Canis lupus familiaris: one gene and its partners. The protein of the gene in region 3 purifies or fractionates together with the protein of the main gene of each other region. This does not show direct contact. Links are inferred from orthologs where the notes say so. Each region holds a gene or a part of one and is shown on either strand. Other genes may lie near its edges.

Region 1 (5,956 bases), on a different chromosome or scaffold from region 3:
TAAATGAAGTAAATGAAACGAAAATCTGGTCAACTGCACATCAAGTCCAAAAACAGCCATATCTAGAAAACAAATAAACAAAAACAAAACAAAAAGAACCATATCTTGAACCTGACAACCATAATTAACATTTCTTTCACTGAATTACAAACATTTCTTTCTGATAAACAGAAATTAAAACAATGCAAGTTCTTGATTAATACACAAAATTATGCTGACAAGTATTTATTGACTGCTTACATTGTGTTAAACATTGTTCTAGTTGCTTGAGGATATAGCAGCAAAGAAGACCTAGCTCTGTAATCTGGTGGGGAAAAGATAAACAAAAAAAATATAAACAAATAAACAAGTAATTTCATATACTGAAAATAATGTGAAGTGACGGAAACCAAGTGCAGGGACCACCTGGAATAAGGTTAAATAAGAGAAGGGCCTTTCTGAAGGTAATACACAAGCTTGCATCTAAATGATGCAAAAACAGAACTGGAAGAAGTCTGAGAGGTAGTAGGCAGGGCAGGTGGTGTGGGAACTTGTAAACCACAGTAAAAGAAGTTTAGATCTTGGGACACCTAGGTGGCTCAGCGGTTGAGCGCCTCCCTTCAGCCCAGGAAGATCCTGGAGTCCTGGGATCAAGTCCCACATCAGGCTCCCTGCATGGAGCCTGCTTCTCCCTCTGCCTGTGTCTCTGCCTCTTTCTCTCTCTCTCTCTCTCTCTCTGTGTCTCTATGAATAAATAAATAAATAAAATCTTTAAACAAATAAAAAATAAACACAATTCCTAAGTAATGGATGCCAGAACAAAAAAGAGAGGCAAAGTGACATTAGGAAAACGACAAAGTCTGGGACCATAAGAGAGACCTCCTTCACAAACTTGCCTAAAGCTGACTTAGAAACCAAACTCAAACTAAAATAATCCCAACTGTAAAGAAATATGAAACTAAATGAGGCTTAATGCATAAACTATTTTCACTGTGCCCTTCATCACTCTCCTGAAATTTTATCTCAAAAGGCTTTATTTACCCTGAGATAGATGTTCATTAAATGTAAAGACAAAATGACTACAAATAACTCTTAACAGTTTAGGAAGTTCTATTCCACTAAGGAAAAAAAAGAATCAAGTTTTTAGAAAGCCTAATGCATTTACCTATACAAATTATATATAATGCACTTCAAAATGAAGTATTATCTAACTACAGCAATCACTTTTTCACTCAAGATATCAATACAAGGGAAATAAGCTCAGGCAAGATATCAACAATAGTAGAGGCAGAAAACTTCTGGCTCATCTCTTACTGCTAACTAGAAAAAAACTCTAATTGTCATATGAAATCCCACAAGACAGGTACAGGGACCAACTCAGTCTTGCAAATGATGTAACCATACAGTTAAAGCACCAGAACTCAAAGGTAGGAAACATTAAATGTTTGTATAATTTAGTACTAATGTTTTAAAAAAAAGAGAGAGAGAGAGAGAGAGAGCATGTTCTCAGACTCACAGGAGCATTTGCTACCACTAGTGTGTCAAGCACATTAAAGAACAATCTTTTCTTTTTTTTTAATCTTGAAACCATGATTACAAAGTTAAATGTGGTCACTGTCATCTGATATGGTGGAGTCAAATCCTAACTTCACCCTTTTTCTGTGTAACCTTAAACAATTTACCTAACATTTCTGGGCCTTAGTTTCCTCACCTGTAAATCAATGATTTAAAAAATCTACCTCTGGGGGCGCCTGGGTGGCTCAGTCGTTGAACATCTACCTTGGGCTCAGGTCCTGATCCCAGTGTCCTGGGATTGAGTCCCGCATCAGGCTCCCCTCCCCATAGGGAGCCTGCTTCTCCCTCTGCCTATCTCTCTGCCTCTCTCTATGTCTCTCATGAATAAAGAAATAAAATCTTAAAAAATAATTTAAAAAAATAAAAATTAAAAATCTACCTCTGGTGCCTGGGTTGCTCAGATGGTTAAGTGGCTGCCTTCAGCTCAGGTCAGGATCCCAGTATCCTGGGATGGAGCCCCATGGGGGGGAGGGGAGGAGAGTCTGCTTGAAATTCTCTCTCTTGCCCCCCCCATACCTCTTCCACTAGTGCTCTCACTCAAATCAATAAAATCTTTAGGGATCCCTGGGTGGCGCAGCGGTTTAGCGCCTGCCTTCAGCCCAGGGCATGATCCTGGAGTCCTGGGATCGAATCCCACATCGGGCTACCTGCATGGAGCTTGTTTCCCCCTCTGCATGTGTCTCTGCCTCTCTCTCTCATGAATAAATAAATAAAATCTTTAAAAAATAATAATAAAATAAAATAATAAAATAATATAATAATAATAAAATAAAATCTTTAAAGAAAGATAAAAAATTTAAAAATCTACCTCTTAGAGTTATTTTAAAATATAATGAAATAGATATATTGTAAATGGCAATACACATAACAGATACTTAATATGTGAGCCTTTAATGACTGTTACCGTATTTTATATTGTATGTTCTTTTCCTTTTTTTAAAAAAAGGAGAAGTAGGCTCCTCGCAGGGAGCCCGATGCGGGACTAGATCCCGGGACTCCAGAATCACGCTCTGGGCTGATGGGAGGGGCTCAACGGCTGAGCCACCCAGGCTGCCTATATTGTATGTTCTAATTTTGCTTCTTGGAAAGTAAATATAGGTAATCTTGTCTTGGTCCTACAATCTTTTCAGCATATATTCAAAGTGGCACAAAACATCTCCACCAATAATAACTTTATATACACAAATAGTTTGAAGATTGGGGCCTATGATTTTGTAAGTTTTATCCATCTGTTCCCCAAGACACACAAATCAAAACATTACAAAGACAATGGTAGAAGTGGAATAAGAAGAGTAACTGGATGATGGGTCTCACTGGTAACATGCCATAGGCAAGAAGCAACAAAAGACCTTAAAGTCAAATAGATATATATGGATTTAGGGTTAACCCCTCTTCTCAGCAGGAAACAACAATGATTTTTCCAACACTTACTGCAAAGAGATTTGAAATGTTTTGGAAACAATCCCTGCTTCCTGACAGTTTACTATACCTCCTTTCTGTAGTAAAGAAGCAAAGTGGAAAAAAATCTCTGATGGATACAAAAAAGCAGTAACTTGGGGGGGGGGGGAGTACTATACAGTCAAAAAGCCCATTTCCTGATTTCCTGTTTTACCTCTGAAGGCAAACCCATTTCTTTAAAAAGGTATTTCAAGTGACTGAAAAGTAGCTGGACATGTTTTCATTCTAAGGTACTAATGATGATACCGACTACAGTTATTTCTGGCCAGTATCAAGAAGCCCGTATTTATTTGATTGCAGCAAACTCAGGTACAAGGAAACCTCCCAGGTGGTCGGCTCAGTTCTAAGTAGAGCTCCTGTTACTTCGTAACATTCATCCAAGTAAGGCCCTTCCTATAACACCACGAGTTTTAGGTCAGCGTAAAACAGAGCGGTCCAAAATATTCCAACCAAGTGAGTGGCTCTGCTATTGCTTGAACCATAGCTTGTCCATCATCAAGAAAACCAGAAATTAGCACGTCAAGGCCTCTGTGAAATAAACGGACGCGATAATTTCCGCGAAGGTTCACTAAAGAGAACAGCACCTTAAAAGGCTCTGAAATGAAATAATACCTAAATTTCTAAAGATCTGGGCCCAACGGCCCAAGGTCACACACACCAAGTCAGTTAAGTAGCTGATAAAAAAAAAATTCAAGAAACGATGAGCCTCCTGCAGCTCAGGACAACCCTACCTAGGAATGGAGTCTGGGTTTGGGAACACTCGCGTCAAAGCTTTAATGTGAACAAGGCCAACCGAATGCAGTGGCTCCGAGGGAAAACCCCAGGCGTTTCGGGAAGGATTTCCTCCCATTTCCCCAGTCTCCCCTTCCCTAGTCACCCCCGACACTCACATCTCCGGAGCCACTTCATCCAATGGTAGACGATAGTAGTGTGGTGTTTCTTGTTCTCTATACACCAGGACGACAAGCCTTGAATAGATTCCATGGTGTTAGTTACCGACTGGAATTTTCGATCCAACGAGGACTCCAGAGCCCCTGCCGAAGAGGCCGACGAGGAGGAGGCCTTACTGCTGCCTCCGCCGCCGCCGGCCGCCATCTTCCCGGTTTGCACAAGCGCTGCTGCTCCTCTGGCGGCGGCGGCGGCGGCGGCGGCGGCGGGGCGGCGGCGGCGGCGGGAGCGGGAGCCGGAGCGGGCAAAACAATCACTGCGAGTGCGTGAAAGCCGCAGGTGGGGAGGGAGGTCAGGGGGTGGGGAGGGTACACGCGCTAGGCTCTTCTGGAGGTAGGTGGGGAGGACCAGCTGCTGGGCACGCTGGTGACTCCTACACGCTGTAAGGAGGGGCTGCGGGCATCGAAGGTTTATCAGAATTGTTCAAGGGGTTGTGTTTAAACCAGTCAATAGTCACGGAAGAATTGCGCAGAAAACAGATCCTGCAAAGCCTTTCAAAACGCCTGGCCCCGAAACTAATGGTTTTACACTCTTCAGCTCTCAAAGCTAAGGCTCGTCCCCACTCCTATCGCCACACTCCTGTAAGGGTAGGCGTTAATACCTTAAATTTAATACTATCCGATTGCCCCTTCAGTTGCAGAATCTTTCTCCTTTAGGTCCTCTAGCACAGAAAAGGCCCAAGGCTACCTAGTCAGGATTTTTTTTTTTGCAACGCAATAGCAGCAAAGGGACAGCAACAGTATCGCGCACGCGCTGCTTCGCCCCGCCTCCCCGCTTCCTTCACAACCTAGAAAGCGGAGGAGGCGTGATGGCGGGGCGGCCTGGCCAATCAAAGGACAAGAACGAGAAGCGCGCGCAGAAGGCTGCAAGTCCCAAGGACCAAGGAGGCGCTACGATTATTTGTGCGCCTGCGCAGCAGACCGGCGTGTAGCGGGCTAGGAGGAAAAACCGGAGGAAGGGTGAGGGAATTGGTCAAACTTAGGAGAGGTTGGGGGAGGGGCTTCACCGCTCTGTCCTGCCCTTAACTTCCTAGCGAGGTCCCCCTCTTGGGGCTGTCCAGCTCCCACAACAGGCCGGGAAATTCCCACCGCTCAGAGGTTACTGTTACTTTCTGGTAGCTGCCGCCGCCGCCGCTAACTCCTTGGGGCACCGACGCGCGACAAAGTGGCTGGCAGCCATCTTGCAGTGTCTCAAAAGGTGCGCATGCGCCAGCTCCAGTGAGCCGTTCACTACGCAGACTCCCAGACCAAACAATATTTTACACTCCCCTTGGACGATACCATTCATAGCCAGTAGGTTCTTTAGATGTGGTAAGAGGAAGTAAGTGAAGCGAAAAATTTCCTAGCAAAATTTTCGAGACGAGGAAAGAATAAAAAGCAAGATGTGATCTCACCTTCGCCGGTCACTATGGCATAATACATTATAGTTTACAAGAGTCCTGGCTATTCTATTGATAGGCACAACCTGGATGAACAATTCCATCGTATCTGCCTATGTAAATCCTCTGGACAGATTTGGAGGCTCATGTGTTCCACTGAGCACATGCAATTATTTAAGTCTTTTACCTCTCCCCGATGGATTCATCGCTTCTTGAGGCAAGGAACATGTTTTGTGAAGCTCATCTCTAGTATTCATTCATTCATTCATTCATTCATTCATTCAGATAAAAGTTCTTGAATGTTTTGTGTCAAGTACAGTTCTAGACATTGGTAAGTATAACAGCAAAACAAAAATCTCCCTGTGGTGCTTAGTTGCAGGAGGCCATAAGCAAATATGTATCAGGAAGTAACAAGTTCTATGAAGAATTCTGAAGCAGTGTAAGGAAGAGAGAGGATATTGTGTGTGTGAGCCTATATGGGAAGGGAAATGGTTTGGTGATCCAGCAAGGCTTCTGGAAGGAAATGACAATATCTGAACGCTGAGAATAAGATAACCAACCAGGTATGGGGAAGGGAGAGAAGAAGGAACAGCAGCTGGCAGAAGGAACAGCCAAGGG
Region 2 (5,953 bases), on a different chromosome or scaffold from region 3:
ATTAATAAATTGGCAGTCTGATTTACATTTTAATCTACTGAGATTTTGTTACTATTGCAGTTGTTGAAAATTCTTATAAGTCTTAATATATTAATAAAATTAGGTTTCTGATTCTGCAAAGTGAGAAGTAGACAGTGGAAGCTATGGTAACCAAACCAAGACTCCGGTTCCCCATGAGAGGGTCTTAGTAGCCACCTGGAATTTTTCTATCTCACAATGTCTCTTTAATGACAATATCATTTACAGAACAAATTTCAAATTAGAATATGGCTACTCTGTAACGTAAAATGAAAACCTCTGAATCCCCAAACTGCAAAAATTGCCTTTTATTAAGACATTAAACAAAACAATACAAAACAAAACCCCACATTCTATGTATGTAATCCTCAGCCAGAAGACATTCACACATTTGTCAAATTTGCAGTTACAGAAATCTTTTAGCAACACACAATTTAATATGCATTATCTCACTTGATTCTTACAACAAAACTAGTGGAAAAGTAAACTGATACTCTGTGCCTCTGCATTCCAGATGAGGAAACTCAGAGTCAATAATTTGTCCAAAGTAAGTCTTTTGATAGCAAATTTAGTTCTTTTACTAGGGCTATACAGATATGATCATTTTATTATTTTTATTTTTTTTAGATATGATCAGTTTTAACACTAATAAATCTACTAAACCGAACTTACTCTGTACTCAAAGTAAGATTTGGTGGGGAGGAGTGGAACTTTCATTGAAATATAAATAACATATACAAAAAAGGTATATGGCTCTTAAGTGAAAAGATCTATGAATTATCACAAAGTGAACACACCCATATAACACTGCCCAGGTCAAATCATTGAAGTTAAATTTTCCTGCATCATTTGACTACCACTGGAATCATGGATGAACTTTAAATAGCCAGTTCCTATGCCCTGTCTTCACTTAAGGGCTCCTGATACTGGCAAATGATTCAAAAAACAGTACTATAGAGGAAAAGGTAGACAGAGTGAACAGGTGAAGCTAATTAAGAATCAATCACAAACTCCAGGGAGGCCTGTGTGAGGCAGTCAGTTTAGCATCCAACTCTTCGTTTTGGCTCAGGCCGTGATCTCAGCCCAAGCACAGAGCCTGCTTGAGTCCTTCTCCCTCTCCCTCTGCCCCTCCCCCCTGCACTCATGCTCTCTTGAGCTCTCTAAAATAAATAAATATTTTAAAAAATCAATTGTGGGATCCCAGGGTGGCTCAGCAGTTTGGCGCCTACCTTCGGCCCAGGGCGTGATCCTGGAGGCCCGGGCTCCCTGCATGGAGCCTGCTTCTCCTTCTGTCTATGTCTCTGCCTCTCTCTCTCTCTCTCTCTCTCATGAAAAATAAATAAAATCTTAAAAAAAAAAAATCAATTGCAAACTCTAGTAGAAGTATATATACAATGAAAATACTATTTCGTTAGAATCAAGTGGCTTGAGGTGCCTGGGTGGCTCAGTTGGTCTGACTCTTGATTTCGGCTCAGGTCATGATCTCAGGGTCCTTTAAGAGTCTCTCTTTCCTTCTCCCTCTGACCGACCCCCCAACCTACTCCCTGCCCACCTCTCTCTCTTTCAAAAAAGCTGAGGAGATACCCTATAATAACTAGTTTGAAAAAAATTTACAAAGGGAGCTTAGCTTATTAAATAATTATCTAAGCATAACACTTTATCCATTACATTAATCCTCACCATGACTTGACGCACAAGCTTAATGGTTTCACTCCAAGGTCTATTTTGGTTAAATTTTGCATGGAGCCGTTCCAAGAGAGAACTCATCTTACTCAGCTTCTCCGATTCTACGATATAAATCAGAAAACATTATTAGAAACTTTCCTTTCCAGACCTTCCACAATCTTTCTTGCAAAAAGAAACTCCCACACTTCAACCTGGTAAGAACTCAGTTGAAATATTTTTCAATACCATTTACTTCAAAACATACAAATTATTTACTTTTAATAACAAAATGACACAGAAATTGGGTTCTAAACTAATGAGCACCACAGAACATAACTGATTTCTATCCAGTCTTTTAATGAAAACCAAAAAAAGAACCACCTCTAACCATGTTTTGGGGTCAAGACTACAAGACTGTTTTGGGGTTAGTGACAAAATCATTTCATGATATGCATGAATCCCTTGCATGATATATGAAAAGCATACATTTGAACATGGCCTTACTTTGGTTAGTTGGTTTTCAATGTGAAATGCAGACTTTGATGTAATTCTAAGAGAACAATACAGAAGTATTATCAAGAAAATAGGCTGTATTTGCCATTTTCATTTTTCCTGTTTGAATTCAAACTAAAACTATATGGATAGGAAATATGTCAATGACTAAAGGATGAGCTTCTAGCAGAGCTAAGAGAAAGGTGGAAAAGTCCTCAGTTTCCTGGGCTATGAGTGAACAAAGATCTTATGCTCTCCAGCCTTCCTAATTTTTATTACTGAATTATAATTTTTATTTTTGAATTTTTGTTATTTTACTACTGAACTATAGCTTTATTTCTATTAAATTTTTTACTTTTGAAATATAGGTGATCCTTCCTCTAATTCTTACACTTCTTAGGACCTGTTCTAGAGACCACTGGCAATGCAAAAACTCAATACACCTGAGATGGTATCTGTGAAGGGGTGTGCGTAAGTTAACGTGGAAATAACCATCACAGAAAGCAAAATGAGATATGCTGTTAAAAACAGACACATTACAATTGAAACACAAAAAAGGAAAATCTCATTATTAGTTGTGGGGAGATTACAGAAAAGGTGACAGTTGATATTGGCATTGAAAGATAAATAATCTCAGCAATCAGAGTTAACGCAGTGACATTTTCTAAATCAAGATTCAAATTCCTTCCTCCAATGTCCTCATCTTCTGGAAAACCGGTTTGGGGACTGTTTCAGCCAGCTTACAGTTCTGGACACATTGTTGGCAATTCCCACTTTCAAGACTCATTCACACATGATTTTATGTGCTGGGGATATAGAAATGAGCAAACTAGACAAAATTCCTGCCTCATCAAGTTTCCATTTTACATTCACCAATCCTCTGCACCCAAGGAGTATACCTTTTTTCTTCCTCTCCTTTAAAATACTCCCCTCCCTTTTCCTTGAGAAGCCTGATGATAAATACTTTACACGAATGATCAAACACTTTTTGTGCCAGGTACTACACAACGATGCGTAAGACAAGGTGCTCAAAGTGGAGAAGATGGGTAAACATAATACAGTGATCCTTATTAACAAAACTATATCCAAAATGCTAAGGAAGCATTTAAGAGTGTAGGACTTTAGAGAATCTAAGTAAGGTTCCACAGAAAAGTTGTTTTTCAGCAGTTGTGAGTTAGTCCAGCCATTGAAAGGATGAAATTCAACGCATTTCATAAACATACAATAGTGTAAGTCTGGACATTGTAACGTTCCATGGAACTACTAGCTTTTAAAATCATAAGGTCCTAATCATTTCATTCACGCCAAAACATTCTCCGATATTTGACACACAGCTCTGTATTTTTTTAATGTCATTATTCAGATATCTCTTCTGAAACGAGGTGTAAGCAGGTTTTAGATTCACTCGCCTGGTCTTCCATCAACTTTAGGCTAAAAACGTTCCGAGGCCCAAGTGATTGTCCCTAGCTATGCAGGAAACCTTCATAGAAGTTGAGAGCCCCCATCACCCGAGACTCAGATCCTTGCATCACCAACGAAGGCACAGTCAGAAGCTATCCCGCCTCCTGGACTCCACGACCTCAGGAGCGTTGCCCCTGCAGAGGCATCGGGCCACCCCCACCCCAGCTCCTCTCACAGATTGGCTCCCCCAAGCTGCGTCCCGCCCCCTGCATTCCCCCTCAAGTCACTCACCCTCGGTTTCCCCCTGAGCCTTCATCCTGACGGTGGGGAGGTCCTGAGTCCTACACAAGAGGATAAACCCTTCCCCACCACTAACGAGGGAACCAAGTTGGTTCGGGCTCCCGGGAGGCAGGGGAACAACCGTCCCCACTCTTCCCGGGAAGGCTCAGTCTGAAGTCCCCGGCGGCAAGAAGAGAAGGGCGCTCCCGGCCGCCGCCATCTTCCCAACGGAACTTCCCAAATATCGCGAGATTAACCGTGATCCTGCGAGAGATAGGAAAAAGGCTGGGCACCAAAATATCGCGAAAAATAGTGAATGCAGTGCTTCTCGCGAGATTCTTCTAATCACGCCTTCCCTTAGCTTTCGGTCACCTGAAGGTTTACTTACTGCTCTCGAGTACCGTGTTTGCCGTCTGCTGGCGCTCAACCTCGCTTCCAAGTGGCAAAGGAGTTCGTAAATTAAAATCCTGGGATCTCTTTACTGACTAGCATTTCAAAGAATATAGGTACCAGAAATATTTTGTTGAAGATAATACGCTGGGCAGCCCGGGTGGCTCAGCGGTTTAGCGCCGTCTTCAGCCTGGGGCATGATCCTGGAGACCTGGGATCGAGTCCCATGTCGGGCTCCCTGCATGGAGCCGACTTCTCCCTCTGCCTGTGTCTCTGTCTCTGTCTCTCTCTCTCTCTCTCTCTGTCTCTCGTGAATAAATAAAATAATATAAAATAAAAGATAATACGCTTTATTGAGATACTAGGTGGAAACATGAAAATGGTATTGGGTCTTTGTAACACAGCGTTCCAAGCCAGCCCAATTCACTTAATTCCCATTTCCCAATTTTTTCCTCAAATTTCAGAAATATTTCTCACGCAATAACGGTTTTTTGGTTTTGGGGTTTTTTGTTTTTTGTTTTTTAAGATCTGGGAGGTTTTAAATTAAGGTAAACTTGTAGCAGTCAGAGCATCGGATGCTTTTAATTATATACTAAGGTGTATGACTACTAGTGTTCCTATCTGGTAATCATAGTAAAACAAGCAGTTTAGCTTGTACTCCACAATACAAAGAATGCGCAGTCCTGTCTCCTCACGTGGAGAAATTTGGAGTAATGATGAGAAGTTTATGGCCACCGGAACTGAAGGACCAGGCTAAAATACAAAACTAGCATTTGGTGGAAGTTCTCGACGTAGTTAAGGCTTGGTTTTGTTTTGTTTTGTTTTTAATGTTCTTTTTCCAAACAAATCTTTGAAAATAGCCGCTGTAAAGTTGGATTTTACCTAGTTCACTGTAAGGATACTAAGTAGTGGATTTCTACTGGCTTTTCAGTCTCAGAATTTCTCCATATTTCAAAAATGCTATTCAAACATCCTCCAAAGCCATTCCAGCAGACAACTGCAGTTCAGGTGAGCAGGCACAGCAGTGTAAATTTAATAAGAACAAATCTTTGTGTTTTTTTTTGTTTGTTTGTTTGTTTTTATGATAGTCACACAGAGAGAGAGAGGCAGAGACACAGGCAGAGGGAGAAGCAGGCTCCATCCAGCGGGAGCCCGACGTGGGATTCGATCCTGGGTCTCCAGGGTCGTGCCCTGGGCCAAAGGCAGGCGCCAAACCGCTGCGCCACCCAGGGATCCCAAGAACAAATCTTTGGAAGCGTCTGGGAACACATTTACTACCACAAAGATATCTATAACTATGCTCTCTGAAGTAGAATTCAAATTTTATTCTTTATCTTTTCCTCTTTACCCTCATTCCTTTAGTCACTACATAGGGAGTTTCTTGGGGGCAGGATTTTGCCTTCATTTCTGAATTTCCACCGCTTACCTACTACTGTACTGGAGCCCAGTAGACAAATGTTTTACTGGGTCTACAAAACCTTCCTAGGGAAAAAAAAAAAAAAACCCTTCCTAGACCCACCTCTCCCGTTGCCAATTCCCAGCCATACTAGCCTTCTTTCTCATGCAGAAAATTGCTGCATTCTCCTCCCAAGTTCCTTGAACAGGCCTTTTTTAACTGCTGGGAGAGTCCTTCCTCTACCTGACTCCTTCACCTCACTAAGGCCTTCTTATTCAGATGTCAATTTTTTTAAAATTTTTTTTATTATTT
Region 3 (5,803 bases):
TGGGCCCGCTCACATTTTCAATTCAGCTTAGTGACTGATTAATATATAAAGACTTCTGTTGGGGCACCTGGGTGGCTCAGCTGGGTAAGCATCTGCCTTTGACTCAGGTCATGATCTCGGCTCAGATCACAATCTTGGGGTCCTGGGATCAAGCCCCACATCAGGCTCCCTGCTCCATGGGGCGTCTGCTTCTCCCTCTCTCTCTGCCTTTTCTTCTGCTATATTGTCTCTTTCTCTCTCAAATAAATAAAATCTTAAAAAAAAAAAAATGTTTGCAGATCCCTCCTAGGAAGGGCTGCATTGGGAAGCCATAGTCTGGGTCATTACTATCCTCTTATTTCCCTCTCCCTCCTCACTATCTTGTCTTCCCTCATGCCCAGCTCTACCTTTGGCTACTAGTAAAGGCGAGGGCAGGGCGAATATTCTGAGACTAGATCAGGACTCAGAGTGGTTCTAATGACAATGCCATTTGCTAGAAGCCAAAGACCTAACATTAGGGCCTTCCCTTCACTGAAGTCAGTGGTAGCTCTCTGCAGAAGGGATAGTCAGATCCCCTGGGTAGCTGAGGCTACTTGAGGCAGCAGGCCACCAAAAGGGAGGCTAGCAAGCAACTGGCCTCCAGCCTTTTCAAAGAAAGAGTTGTTCTTACCAAAGAAAGGAGATGAAACCTCCATGAGAACAAGGACCTTTTATGGTTAGAATGTACAGTCAAAAACCTGGGGAGTGGCTAAGCATCAAGAAGAACGAGATATTTTCTGTGGACAAGGAACCTTCTCTGCCTCCCCACAGCAACCAGACTAGGCTTCTGGACGATATGCGGAGCATGACCGTCACAGCTCCTAGATGAGGACCAAACAGAGCAGGAGGCCCCGGTGCTCAGCTCACAAGCCCTGTAAGGACAGGAAAAGCACACCAGTTAGGCTCAGGCTCGGGGCAGCCATCACCATGCACTTCCCATCTCATGAGGCACAGGTCCCGATCTTCCAAGCAGACAGTCATAAGAGTTTCTTTCATCTGTGACTCGAGCATTAAGTCCCACATCCACCCCCTGCCTCCACACACCCCTTTCTAGGCAACAACCCTGGACACACGATCAGGCACTCACCCAAGTAATCGTCCATCAGAGAGCCAATAGCAAACTGCAGGAGGGAAGGCAGAAAGGAAACAGAGCCTAAGCAAGCATAGAACTAACTTCTAGCCCAGCCCCAGGCCTTCTGCTCACCCATCCCCTCTTCCTGGCAGAAGAAAACAAAACCCCCAGGAACCCTGCATGGTAAGAAAATCAACAGCTGCCAGCTCTGCCTGGTACAGGTAAGAAGGTAGGCAAGAGACTCACAATGTCATTCTTGTCCACACGGGTCCCCACAATCTTCAAGCGGATCTCATCATCCTGCTGAATCACAATGTCCTGAGGAAGAGTAAACAGGATACTCAGATACCTACAAGCCAAAATTTCTTGGAGGGCTCATTCTTCGTCCTTCTCATGGACTTCTTCCCCACTCACCTCATCCATTGTCTTATAACATGGTGGGTTGGAGTTGGGGTCAAACTCCATCTCTGATGGGATGGACTGAAAGGAAAGCAAGACAGAGCTTTACAGGAGTGCTTCCAGAGAGAGTCATGACTGGCTTCTCTCCTTAGCACCCCCAGCACGCCCAGACTTACATGTCGAGAAATGAAGCAGGACATTGGTCCAATTTCTGTGAAAAGTCCAACCTAAGAGGACAATGGGGGACTTTGTTTTTCTTTTTAAATTTTTATTTATTTGAGAGAGAGAGAGAGCAAACGTGTATAGACAGTGAAAGGGAGAAGTAGATTCCTGCTGAGCAGGGAGCTGGCTGCGGGGCTCCATCCCAGGATCATGACCTGAGCCGAAGGCGGCTGCTTAACCGACTGAGCCACCCAGGCAGGCACCTCGACTTTGCTTTTTCTTTTATCCTCAAATTCACCTAAGCTTCCCAACTTTATCTAATTCCTAATAATATTCTTCATATTTTGAATCCACTCTGAATTGTATCATTTGCTTTCATGTCTCTTCTGCTGAGATTTCATTTCAAGTTACGCAAATACAGTGCACTAAAGAGCCAAGGCCTGGCACTTGTCGGTCCACAATCTGACCACCTGTTGATCACATGACCTTGGCCATTAGACAACTTCTAACTTCTCCAGGCGTAAGCTTCTATAAAAATGGATAAAAGCATGACCTTAGTCACCGTTAGGTTTTGGACCTTACCCAACCCATAATAAGTATTCAATGAATGGAGACTACTATTGCTGACAACTCATACTGACTTACAGGACCCCAAGGGAGGTTTCTGCACCATTTGACAGGTGTAGAAACTGAAGCAAAAGTGACTTACCCAAGGACACAGAGTTAGCAAGAGCAGTTGGGACCCATCCCCCATCTTCTGAGCAGCCACCCAACTGCCTCCACTATGTATGGACTCACCTTGTTGACTTGAGTGACAACAGCATCCACGACCTCCCCTTTAAAGGGCCGGAAAACAATGGCCTTGTACTTAACTGGATAAAGGACAAACCCTCGGCCTGGCTGGATCACACCAGCACCAATATTGTCAATGGTGGTGACAGCAATTACAAAGCCATACCTGTAAGGAGGATGAAAAAAAGAAAGGCATCGTGTGTGCAAGAGCCTCTAAAATCATCTACAACAAAAAAAAAACAAAAAAATAAAAAATAAAAAAAAATAAAATCATCTACAACAAATCAGTGATGATGGGGGTCAGGGGACGGCACAAAGGGAAATAGATGGCACCCCTGCCCACAGAACTTCATGTTGGGAGAAGAATACAGATCAGTATCTATAACTTTTTTTTTAATTTTTATTTATTTATGATAGTCACACACACAGAGAGAGAGAGAGAGAGGCAGAGACACAGGCAGAGGGAGAAGCAGGCTCCATGCACCGGGAGCCCGACGTGGGATTCGATCCCGGGTCTCCAGGACCGCGCCCTGGGCCAAAGGCAGGCGCCAAACTGCTGCGCCACCCAGGGATCCCCGATCAGTATCTATAATGCCAAACACTGCTCTCATGTTTCACAATAAATGTCCAAGGAGACTGCAGTCCTTAAGCCAAGAGACTTCAATCTTGAGGATGCCTCAGAATCACCTAAGAGGAACTTCTTAAAACACAGATTCCCAGAGATCCCTGGGTGGCTCAGCGGTTTAGCGCCTGCCTTCGGCTCAGGGTGTGATCTCGGAATCCCGGGATCGAGTCTTACATCAGGCTCCCTGCATGGAGCCTGCTTCTCCCTCTGCCTGTGTCTCTGTCTCTGCCTCTCTCTCTATCATGAATAAATAAATAAAATCTTAAAAAAAAAAAAAAAAAGTCTGCGGAGTAAACGAATGACCAGTCTCTGCTGAAGTAAGTCTCGCGATCCAGAGGGCACCTCGGGAACCCAGGCCGGAAGCAAGTGACTGCCTCGGGTGCCTGAGAGGGTGAGAGGGTTCCCCGGGGCAGGGGGCAGGTGGCAGGTGCTTGCAGGATGAGTAGGAGTTGGGTAGAGGCTGCAGATCAGGCGGCGCGAAGCACTCGGGACTCACTTGCCGGTGCAGGTCCCCTCCACCTCGGTGAAGAGCTTCTGCTTGACCGTGTTGAGCAGGTTGGGGCCGAAATAGCGCGGGTGCAGCAGGATCTCGTGCTCCAGGGAGATCTGCGGGGAAAGCGGCATGGAGACCAAGCAAGGACGAGGAACAGCATCTCCTCGTCCCGGAGCCCCGCTTCGCTCCTCCTCTTAACCCTGCCCTCGCGGCCACCCCGTGCTCCGCGTACGTGATAGAACATCCTCCCAGCCGGGACCGGACAGCAGCCAAACCCAAACTGCCTCGGTGGTAGCCGCGGTTCTCACGCAACCGGAAACACGCACCGCCCCCGGAACCCTGCTTCCGGGCCTGTCCCCGCCAAGTGGGCGGGACTCCGCTCCCTTCGCGGACCCAATTGGTCATCGCTGTCGTGGGCGGGAAATCGGTGAGGCCCCGCCCTTCCGGCCCAGGTCCTCTGCGGCGCAAATGCTGGCTCTTCTAAATGAACAGTTTCCTGGCCTAGGAGGGATGCGCGATATACTGTTAAACGGAATTAATTAGCTAATAAAAGACAACGTGAATACAGTGCTTTAGCAGAACGCATTCGTGTGGCAAATATTTGAAGGCTGCCTTCACATAGTAAGCATCGTAAGGAGCTGTCTTTATCTCATTTCATGTACATAGCAACACCACTAGGCAAGCTTTACAAATGAGGGACCAGGCTCAGAGAGTTGAGGTCACTTGAGGGTCACGATTCAAATGTGCAGTGTCTGACCTCCAAGACCCTTGCGTATTTGGACATTCCAGATTTTCATGCAGTCATTTGTTCAATAAAATGGAGCACCCCACTCCTTGCTGCAGGTAGTTAGGAGATGAAGCAGCCAAAATCAGAGCCCAGGAGTCAGTCCTCCCTCCGGTGTGAGAAACCAAGTCACTGCACTCCTCTTTCCCGTTTCCCCCCAACCCGCTGACACACACGCATGGGGGGCTTAGAGAATTGATTGGTTTGTTCCCTCAACTCTGCCCACTTTTTTGTAGACAGTCGCTTTGCTAAACTCCCCTCAATTAACCGGAGTGATAATGCAATCTATTCCCTGTTGAGACTGACTGATAAAAGGGCCATGCAGAAAGAGGCAGAAACCATGAGACAGACCCATGAGTAAGGCTCAGCCAGGGCAGCTGGTTCTAGAGCCGGACAATCCTTTTTTCTTTTTTTTTTTAAGAGCCGGACAATCCTTAAGGCTTTGAGCAAACTCCCAGTTGCCTGAGTAAGGTTTTTATGGTGGTTTTTTTTTTTTTTTTATGTTGTAAATAAAAGATCCTGACCCACCCTACAGCAAGAACAGACACTTCACGTCTGCTTCCTCAGAACTGTCACATACCAGTTCGTATGGACACTGTCCATTTCCTGGAATAGTTGATCCCACCAGTCTGCCACTAAAACTCCATGGGGATCCCTTTTGAAGGATCAGGCAAGGAGATCCCTGGGTGGCTCAGCGGTTTGGCCCCTGCTGGGGGCGCCCAGGGCGAGTTCCTGGAGTCCCAGGATGGAGTCCCACATCGGGCTTCCTGCGTGGAGCCTGCTTCTCTCTCTCTGCCCCTCTCTCTCTCTGTGTCTTTCATGAATAAATAAATAAAATCTTAAAAAAAGAAAGATCAGGCAAGGAAGCAGATGAATGGGCCTCAGCAGTCCTGACTTTTCCTCTCTTCTTTCCCAGCCATCCTCCCCTTAAAGGCAATCTTAAGGACAGTGGTGTGCTAGAACCAGCTACAAGAGCCATCACCTCCTGGGGTGCATTGCTGGCTCAGTTGGTACAGCATATGACTCTTGATCTTGGGGTTGGGAGTTTGAGCCCCACATAGAGAGACTTCTTAAAAAAGTAAAATAAAATCTTAACTTCATCTCTTCCTAATTATTTTACCACAGTTTACTATTATCAATGCTCTTTACACCTATTGTGCCTCTGTGGTATGGTAAAATATAATTGCATATGCAGGTATAAGACTTCCGGTTACTCCGGTAGCCTCACCAGCACTCGGTACTTTTTTTTTAATATTTTATTTATTTATTCGAGAGAGAGAGAGAGAGAGAGGGAGGCAGAGACACAGGCAGAGGGAGAAGCAGGCTCCATGCACCGGGAGACCGATGTGGGATTCGATCCCGGGTCTCCAGGATCGCGCCCTGGGCCAAAGGCAGGCGCCAAACCGCTGCGCCACCCAGGGATCCCCCAGCACTTGGTATTGTTAGCAGGGTTTATTT
Region 4 (6,115 bases), on a different chromosome or scaffold from region 3:
TATTATATCCAATTGGTTCCTTGACATCACCTCTTAGATATCTATCAGATGTCTCAAGCTTACTAAGTGCAAAGAGAATTGCCCCAAACCTAAATAGACTTGTCTTCCTTTCCAATAGATGGTATCATATACTCTCTTCAGTAACTCAAGCAGTTCAAGTCAGGTATCTAAGAGTCACCCTTGATGATCTCTCCCTTTCCTACGAAATGGTTCTGGTTCACTCTCCCAGAAAATGCTAATTCTACTTGCAAAGTATATACTGAATCTGCTTCTTTACATCTCTACCATGACTACATTAGTCCAAGCCACTTAGACATCTGCAATAGCCATCCTGCTCATCCCTGCTTCTATTCTTGACTCCCTAGTGTCCATTTTTCACCTGAGAGCCAGTTATCTTTAAAAATGTGTATCAGATGTCAACCCTCTCCTCTGCTTTAAATCCTAATGACATTCCACTGTTGACAGATGCTACATGTTGAATGCTGGTGTCCCCTTAAAATTCCTATGTTGAAAAGCTAATGCTCAAGGTGATAATATTAGGAGGTGGTGCCTTTGGGAGCCAATTAGGTCACGAGGGTGGTTCCTCATGAATGAGATTATTGCTCTAATAAGAGGCCCCAGGAGCAAGTGGGTAGCTCAGTGGTTGAGTGTCTGCTTTTGGCTCAGGGCGTGATCCCAAGGTCCTGGGATTGAATCCCGCATCGGACTCCCCTCAGGGAGCCTGCTTCTCCCTCTGGCCATCTCTGCCTCTCTCTGTTTCTCATGAGCAAATAAGCAAAATCCTAAAAGTAAAATAAAAAATAAAAAAAAAATTAAAAAATAAAATAAAATAAAAATAAAAATAAAAATAAATAAAATAAAATAAAATAAAATAAAATAAAATAAAATAAAATAAAATAAAAAAAGAGATCGCGCCAGACCTGACTATGCTGGCACCCTGATCTTGGGATTTCCAACCTCCAGAACCATGAAAAAATATATTTCTGTTGTTTACAAGTTGCCCTGTCTGTGGTATTTTGTTAAGGCAGCTCAAATGGACTAAGAAAACAGAATAGAACTCAAACTTCTCATGTCCTTCTAGCACCTACCCACTACTTTCCTTCACTGATTATGCTCTAGCTCATTGATATTTTTGCTTTTTCTGGAACATACCAAACCCCTTCCTATCTCTAGGCTATGTATTGACCTGATTTCCCTCATCTTGGAAGGCTACTCCCCAGCTTGGTAAGCCCATTACTATCTTCGGGTCTGGGCCCAAATCTTCCCTCCTGTGACTACCCTTTCTAAAGCAACCTCCAGGTTATTCATTCTCATTGACTACTTGGAGTCATTATCACAATCTTTAATGTTTATCATTTTGCTTATCTCCTCACTAAAAGGTCCATGAATGAAAGGATAATGTCTGCCTTGTTCTCTGCTAGAACCTTGGCATCTGGCATAAAGTAAGTGTTCAAAAGACATCTGAATGAATAAATTGAAAGAATTTTACTTTAGGGGCACCTGTGTGGCTCAGTCAGTTAAGTGTCCAACTCTTGATTTTGGCTCAGGTTATGTATGACCTCACCATTCTGAGACCAAGCCCCATGTTGGGCTCCACACTGGGCATGGAGGGCATGGAGCCTGCTTAAGATTCTCTCTCTCAGGCAGCCCTGGTGGCTCAGCGGTTTAGCGTCGCCTACAGCTCGGGGCATGATCCTGGAGACCTGGGATCGAGTCCCATGTCAGGCTCCCTGCATGGAGCCTGCTTTTCCCTCTGCCTGTGTCTCTGCCTCTCTCTCTCTCTCTCTCTCTCCTCTCTGTGTATTCTCATGAATAAATAAATATAATCTTAAAAAAAAAAAAAGATTTTCCCTCTAAAGAAACATAAATTTAAAAAAATTCTTTTTAAATTTTTTTCCCAAGAGAGAGGGTAGGAGGCGCCTCTAAAAGAATTAAAAACAAACAAACAGTTAAGCTGCTCGCTAATACTATGACCTGCAGTAAACCCGATTCACCACAGCAGGCTAAGCATGGAAGGACAGAAGGGGGGATGCCTGGGTGGCTCGGTGGTTGAGCGTCTGCCTTAGGCTCAGGGGGTGATCCCAGGGTCCTGGGATGGAGGACCTTTGTCTCTGCCTCTCATGAATGAATAAATAAAATATTTTACAAAAGTGGGGAAAAAAAGGACAGAAAAGAGGTATGAGGGAAGATACTCAATTCTTAAACTAAGACGAAGAAAGGATAATGTCACACATTTCATCATGAAGCAGGGGAGCAGACTATAATAATTAAGTTTTCACCTTCTGTACCAAGCAGCCAGCACTCATGGCCTCTCCACCCCCTCATTTTTCCTGAAGGAGGGGGAAGGCTCTGTTCAGGACTCACCAGCCATCACGGAGTAGTTGAAGTGTTCTGCTGCAGGATCTAGGTTCACAACTTGGACAGACCGATTGAGGGCTTCACAGTGTTGGACCATAGTGGCACAGTAGGTGCTCTGTAATGTCACAAGGCATCATGGGGTCAAAGCAATAGGCAGTGTAGTGCTACCCCTGCACCCCCAAAATGGATACCCTATATCCCTTGGTCGGTGTCCACTGAGGCCAAAATTATGCCTTCATTGATCAAAAAGCCGACTGAAAACAGGTACTAGGCTGGCAGTCAGGACATCTGACTGGGCTGTAGATCCAGACCTGGCTGAGACTCAAGAGTAACTTTAGTGAAAGCGCTTCTCTACTTTTCTCTTCTTTTTTCTAGAGACTTTATTTTTAAGGAATCTCTACACCCAACATGGGGCTCAAACATAAAAAAAGAAAGTATTAAAGATACACAGGTGTCAAACTGACAATTTCACTTCAATGCAAACTGAAAGAATTGAAAAGGGAGTAATTTTCTCAATTTATGATCTCTAGAATTTACTGACCTCAATCAAGACTCACATTCCACCAAATGAATCAGCCAGGAGCCTTACCCCTGGTTTTCTCTACACCCAACATGGGGCTCAATCAATATACGATCCAATGTTCACTAATGTTAGGCCATGTACCTCCTAAAATCGCCTCAAAGACCAGAAGTCCATGTTTCAAGCTCTGAGAAACTGACTTAATGAGACCTCACCTGAACTTTCTATGAGCGAGACAGGAGCGGATTCTGGGATTACACACAACTGGATTCAAATTCCAGCCGCGTGATCTTGGGAAAAGAACTTAACCTTTCCGTGTCTCATTTTCTGTAAAATTCCCATCCGTAAAAATGAGAACAAGACCTATCCTACAACGTTGTTCTGGAAATAAGTTAGGAGTTTAAACGCAGTATCTGGGGCATAAGTATACTCTAAGCATTAGCCACCACTGTTATTTTCCCCACTTTCAAAATCGCAACAAAGAGCGACGAAGCCCAGACTGCAGCAGCGCTCTGCCGAAGGGTCCGCGTGCACGCACCCGCCGGTCCCTCCGTCAGGACCACAGCCCCCCTGCCTCCCACGAGCTCCGACTTTTCTCCTGTTCTAACGCCAAAGCCTCACCTTCCCGCTTCCTGCCGGGCCCATGACCAGCTGCGCGTACCGAGGCATGCCGGCGCTCCTGGGGCCGGGCTGGGCCCGCCACGCCTCACGGAGCCCGACCGGCCCGCTCCCTTCAGCCTTCGCGCGGCGCTCACTGACTTCCGGGAACACCACGTGACCACCAATAGCAACCCACAGTCCTTTTGCGCCCTGCGTTGTTACATCCCTGGCTACGGAGCGTCCCGCAGATCAAATCTCGTGTGAAACCCGTTCTCGGGAAACTTCGGCGTGGGCGGGGCGGACCGGGCAGCGGTTAGAGTGTGCGCGGAGGTAGTGGCGGAAATCGGCGGTTGGGACGCTGGAGAAGCTTGGTTGCCTTGGAGATAACGGCTAACGGCTCGCACTCCGCATCCCTGCGCCGCGGACTTCGGTCCTCGGTTCGCGTACGAACGTCTCACCTATCTGGCGACACCCAACGTTTGCAAAGCTGTTAGAGGGCCGGGAATCCTGAGGTGGAAGGCACCTCCTGTTTTAGAGGGCGTGTATGTTTCCTTCCCGTGGAAGAGGACTCATCCCCTCCACAAAACGTGCAAGCGCGCAACCCTCTAGAGAGTTCCTGCCCCTCCCCTCTCTAATTCCAGCGTCTGGTCTCTGCCCTCCCCGCTCTCCCGAAGCCGTTCGGGCAGTGCCCGGAGCGCCTCGGCGGGGGCTAGAATCCGGCGTCCGCGGGTGCACCCCCAATAGCGCCCGGCCTGACGCACGCGTGCTGCCGGGGGAGGGGAGAGGGGGAGGCTGCTTCCGCACACCGCTCGAGGTCCGGGCGCCGGGGCGGAGATGCCCGGCCAGTGTCCGGTGCCCGACTGGACGGCATGCGGCTCTTCCGCGGACCCAACCGCAGTGGCCGGGACCGAGGGTGGCGGCGGCGGGTGAGGCTGAGGGGCCCTGAGGGGTGAGGGAGGACGCCGACCGGCCCAGGTCGTGGTCCCCGGCGGAGGAGGGGGTGGGAGCCGGCTGCTCCCGTGGCCTGACCCCCCAGTGCGCTGAACTGAGAGGAAGGGGGAAGCTCTGTTGTGGCCGGGGTGGCACACATGGAAGCCGCCTCGCTGTTTACGGGAAGGGCCTGTGAGGTAAGGCCGAGCGTTGGTGCAATGACTAAACGCCGGGACTGCGACAGTTGCCTGCGTGCGTCTTTCTGCCCCGAGGGGGCGCTGCGAAACCTGCTGGAAAATGCCGTCTGGCCACAGGATCTCTACAGAAAGAGGGGGTTGGGGGGCACGGCAGAAACAGGTTCGAACGAGGCTTTCCAAGTCAATAAACCAGTTCTGTGGGTGTCACGTTGGCCACTTTTATGTCCAGGGGATTCATAATGACGATGAGACAGATAATTATGAATATTACGGGTACGTTGATCTTGATGTTTTCTTCCCACTGAAGTTTTTCTTCATAAATCCATTTTATTTTGAGAAGGCTCTTTTAGTATAGTTCCTGGATGCTGAAGACAATTAGTCTTCAGTACCTTCTCATCCCTTCCATCAGTTATTACCTGAAAGAGCTTCAGGGTGTACCTTTCCAAAAGCACACAGTCATGGCTCCTGCTGCACCCATGACCATTTATTTATATGTGTGTGTGTATATACACACACACACACACACACACCACACACTCATACATATGGAATGTGTATATACATAAATGTATACATATATACATCATGTATATGAAATATATATAGGGAATGAAACATATATATAGTGTTTGAAGGCTTCTTAAAAATGATTTATTTGTCTTAGAGAGAGTGGGTGCGTGCAGAGGGGAGGGGCAAAGGGAGAGGGAGAATCCTCAAGCAGACTCCTCAAGTCTGAGTGTGGAGCCCCAAGCAGGACCACCGAGATCAGGACCTGAGCCCAAATCAAGGATCACCCACTAACCATCTGAGCCACCCAGGCACCCATCAAAGACTTAAAAGACTCTTGTCTTTGCTGTTCATTACAGTGCTTGACAAAGTGCTGGATCCTAGTATCGATGGACACTTGGACATTGAATAAATTTAAGGAAGCAGGAAGCAAGGGTGTTTTGTCTTAATTTGAGAAAAGAAAAAAAGAACTTGTCAAAAATGAAAACATTCCAGATCAATTTATCAGTTCCAGTACACCTTAGTTACATACAGTAAAGAACAAGATAGTCTTTTCCATATCCAGGTTACTTTATTAAAAATAAAGTGAGCAAGAAAATACCACAGATAACACAGAGACGCAAACTACTTTATTGAGCTCAATGTAGGAATTAGATTAAGAGGCTATAAAAGTAAAACCAAACCTGGCTTAAGGTAAATCCCTTCTTGTATGGTAAAAACCTCATATAACTCACTTTTAAAAAGCCTGGAGCCATTAGGCTATAACCAGGATTACAGGAGAAAATTTGCAAAATACTCCATCTAATGGAAACATGAAAAGTAAAAAGCATAGGCAATACTGTCTTTTTTCATTTAAAATACTTTTGTTAATTCTTATAATGCTGTCCATTATTGCATATTATTTAAGTCCTTTTTTTCCTCAACAGATCAGCTGGACATTCTTATTATCACAATTCCAAAGGTATTGGTAAGTAGAGAATATAAAGCAGGTAATACCCACAAA

The links. Proteins that work in one complex are often made in the same cells at the same time.
Region 1: the proteins of POLR2G (region 3) and RPRD2 purify together in Homo sapiens (affinity purification with mass spectrometry; 3 studies listed by BioGRID and IntAct, counting the BioPlex papers as one, with this or other methods). This does not show direct contact. The link is inferred for Canis lupus familiaris from reciprocal best matches to the Homo sapiens genes POLR2G and RPRD2.
Region 2: the proteins of POLR2G (region 3) and MED1 purify together in Homo sapiens (affinity purification with mass spectrometry; 3 studies listed by BioGRID and IntAct, with this or other methods). This does not show direct contact. The link is inferred for Canis lupus familiaris from reciprocal best matches to the Homo sapiens genes POLR2G and MED1.
Region 4: the proteins of POLR2G (region 3) and GPN3 purify together in Homo sapiens (affinity purification with mass spectrometry; 3 studies listed by BioGRID and IntAct, counting the BioPlex papers as one, with this or other methods). This does not show direct contact. The link is inferred for Canis lupus familiaris from reciprocal best matches to the Homo sapiens genes POLR2G and GPN3.

What each region holds. Positions count from the first base shown.
Region 1 is NC_049238.1:60,242,701-60,248,656, reverse strand, and holds the start of RPRD2 (regulation of nuclear pre-mRNA domain-containing protein 2), read right to left. Parts: upstream 4,108-5,956; coding exon 3,903-4,107; intron 1-3,902.
Region 2 is NC_049230.1:22,939,624-22,945,576, reverse strand, and holds the start of MED1 (mediator of RNA polymerase II transcription subunit 1), read right to left. Parts: upstream 4,108-5,953; 5' UTR 3,893-4,107; coding exon 3,868-3,892; intron 1,806-3,867; coding exon 1,699-1,805; intron 1-1,698. UniProt on the Homo sapiens protein: Component of the Mediator complex, a coactivator involved in the regulated transcription of nearly all RNA polymerase II-dependent genes.
Region 3 is NC_049239.1:54,435,364-54,441,166, forward strand, and holds POLR2G (DNA-directed RNA polymerase II subunit RPB7), read right to left. Parts: upstream 4,008-5,803; 5' UTR 3,806-4,007; coding exon 3,794-3,805; intron 3,675-3,793; coding exon 3,565-3,674; intron 2,610-3,564; coding exon 2,450-2,609; intron 1,717-2,449; coding exon 1,666-1,716; intron 1,571-1,665; coding exon 1,505-1,570; intron 1,409-1,504; coding exon 1,337-1,408; intron 1,140-1,336; coding exon 1,106-1,139; intron 891-1,105; coding exon 877-890; 3' UTR 670-876; downstream 1-669. UniProt on the Homo sapiens protein: Core component of RNA polymerase II (Pol II), a DNA-dependent RNA polymerase which synthesizes mRNA precursors and many functional non-coding RNAs using the four ribonucleoside triphosphates as substrates.
Region 4 is NC_049247.1:8,518,867-8,524,981, forward strand, and holds the start of GPN3 (GPN-loop GTPase 3), read right to left. Parts: upstream 4,108-6,115; 5' UTR 3,548-4,107; coding exon 3,500-3,547; intron 3,231-3,499; exon of another isoform or gene 3,094-3,230; intron 2,474-3,093; coding exon 2,365-2,473; intron 1-2,364. Other genes in the region: protein FAM216A, read left to right, coding at 4,313-4,404, 6,039-6,079. UniProt on the Homo sapiens protein: Small GTPase required for proper localization of RNA polymerase II (RNAPII). May act at an RNAP assembly step prior to nuclear import.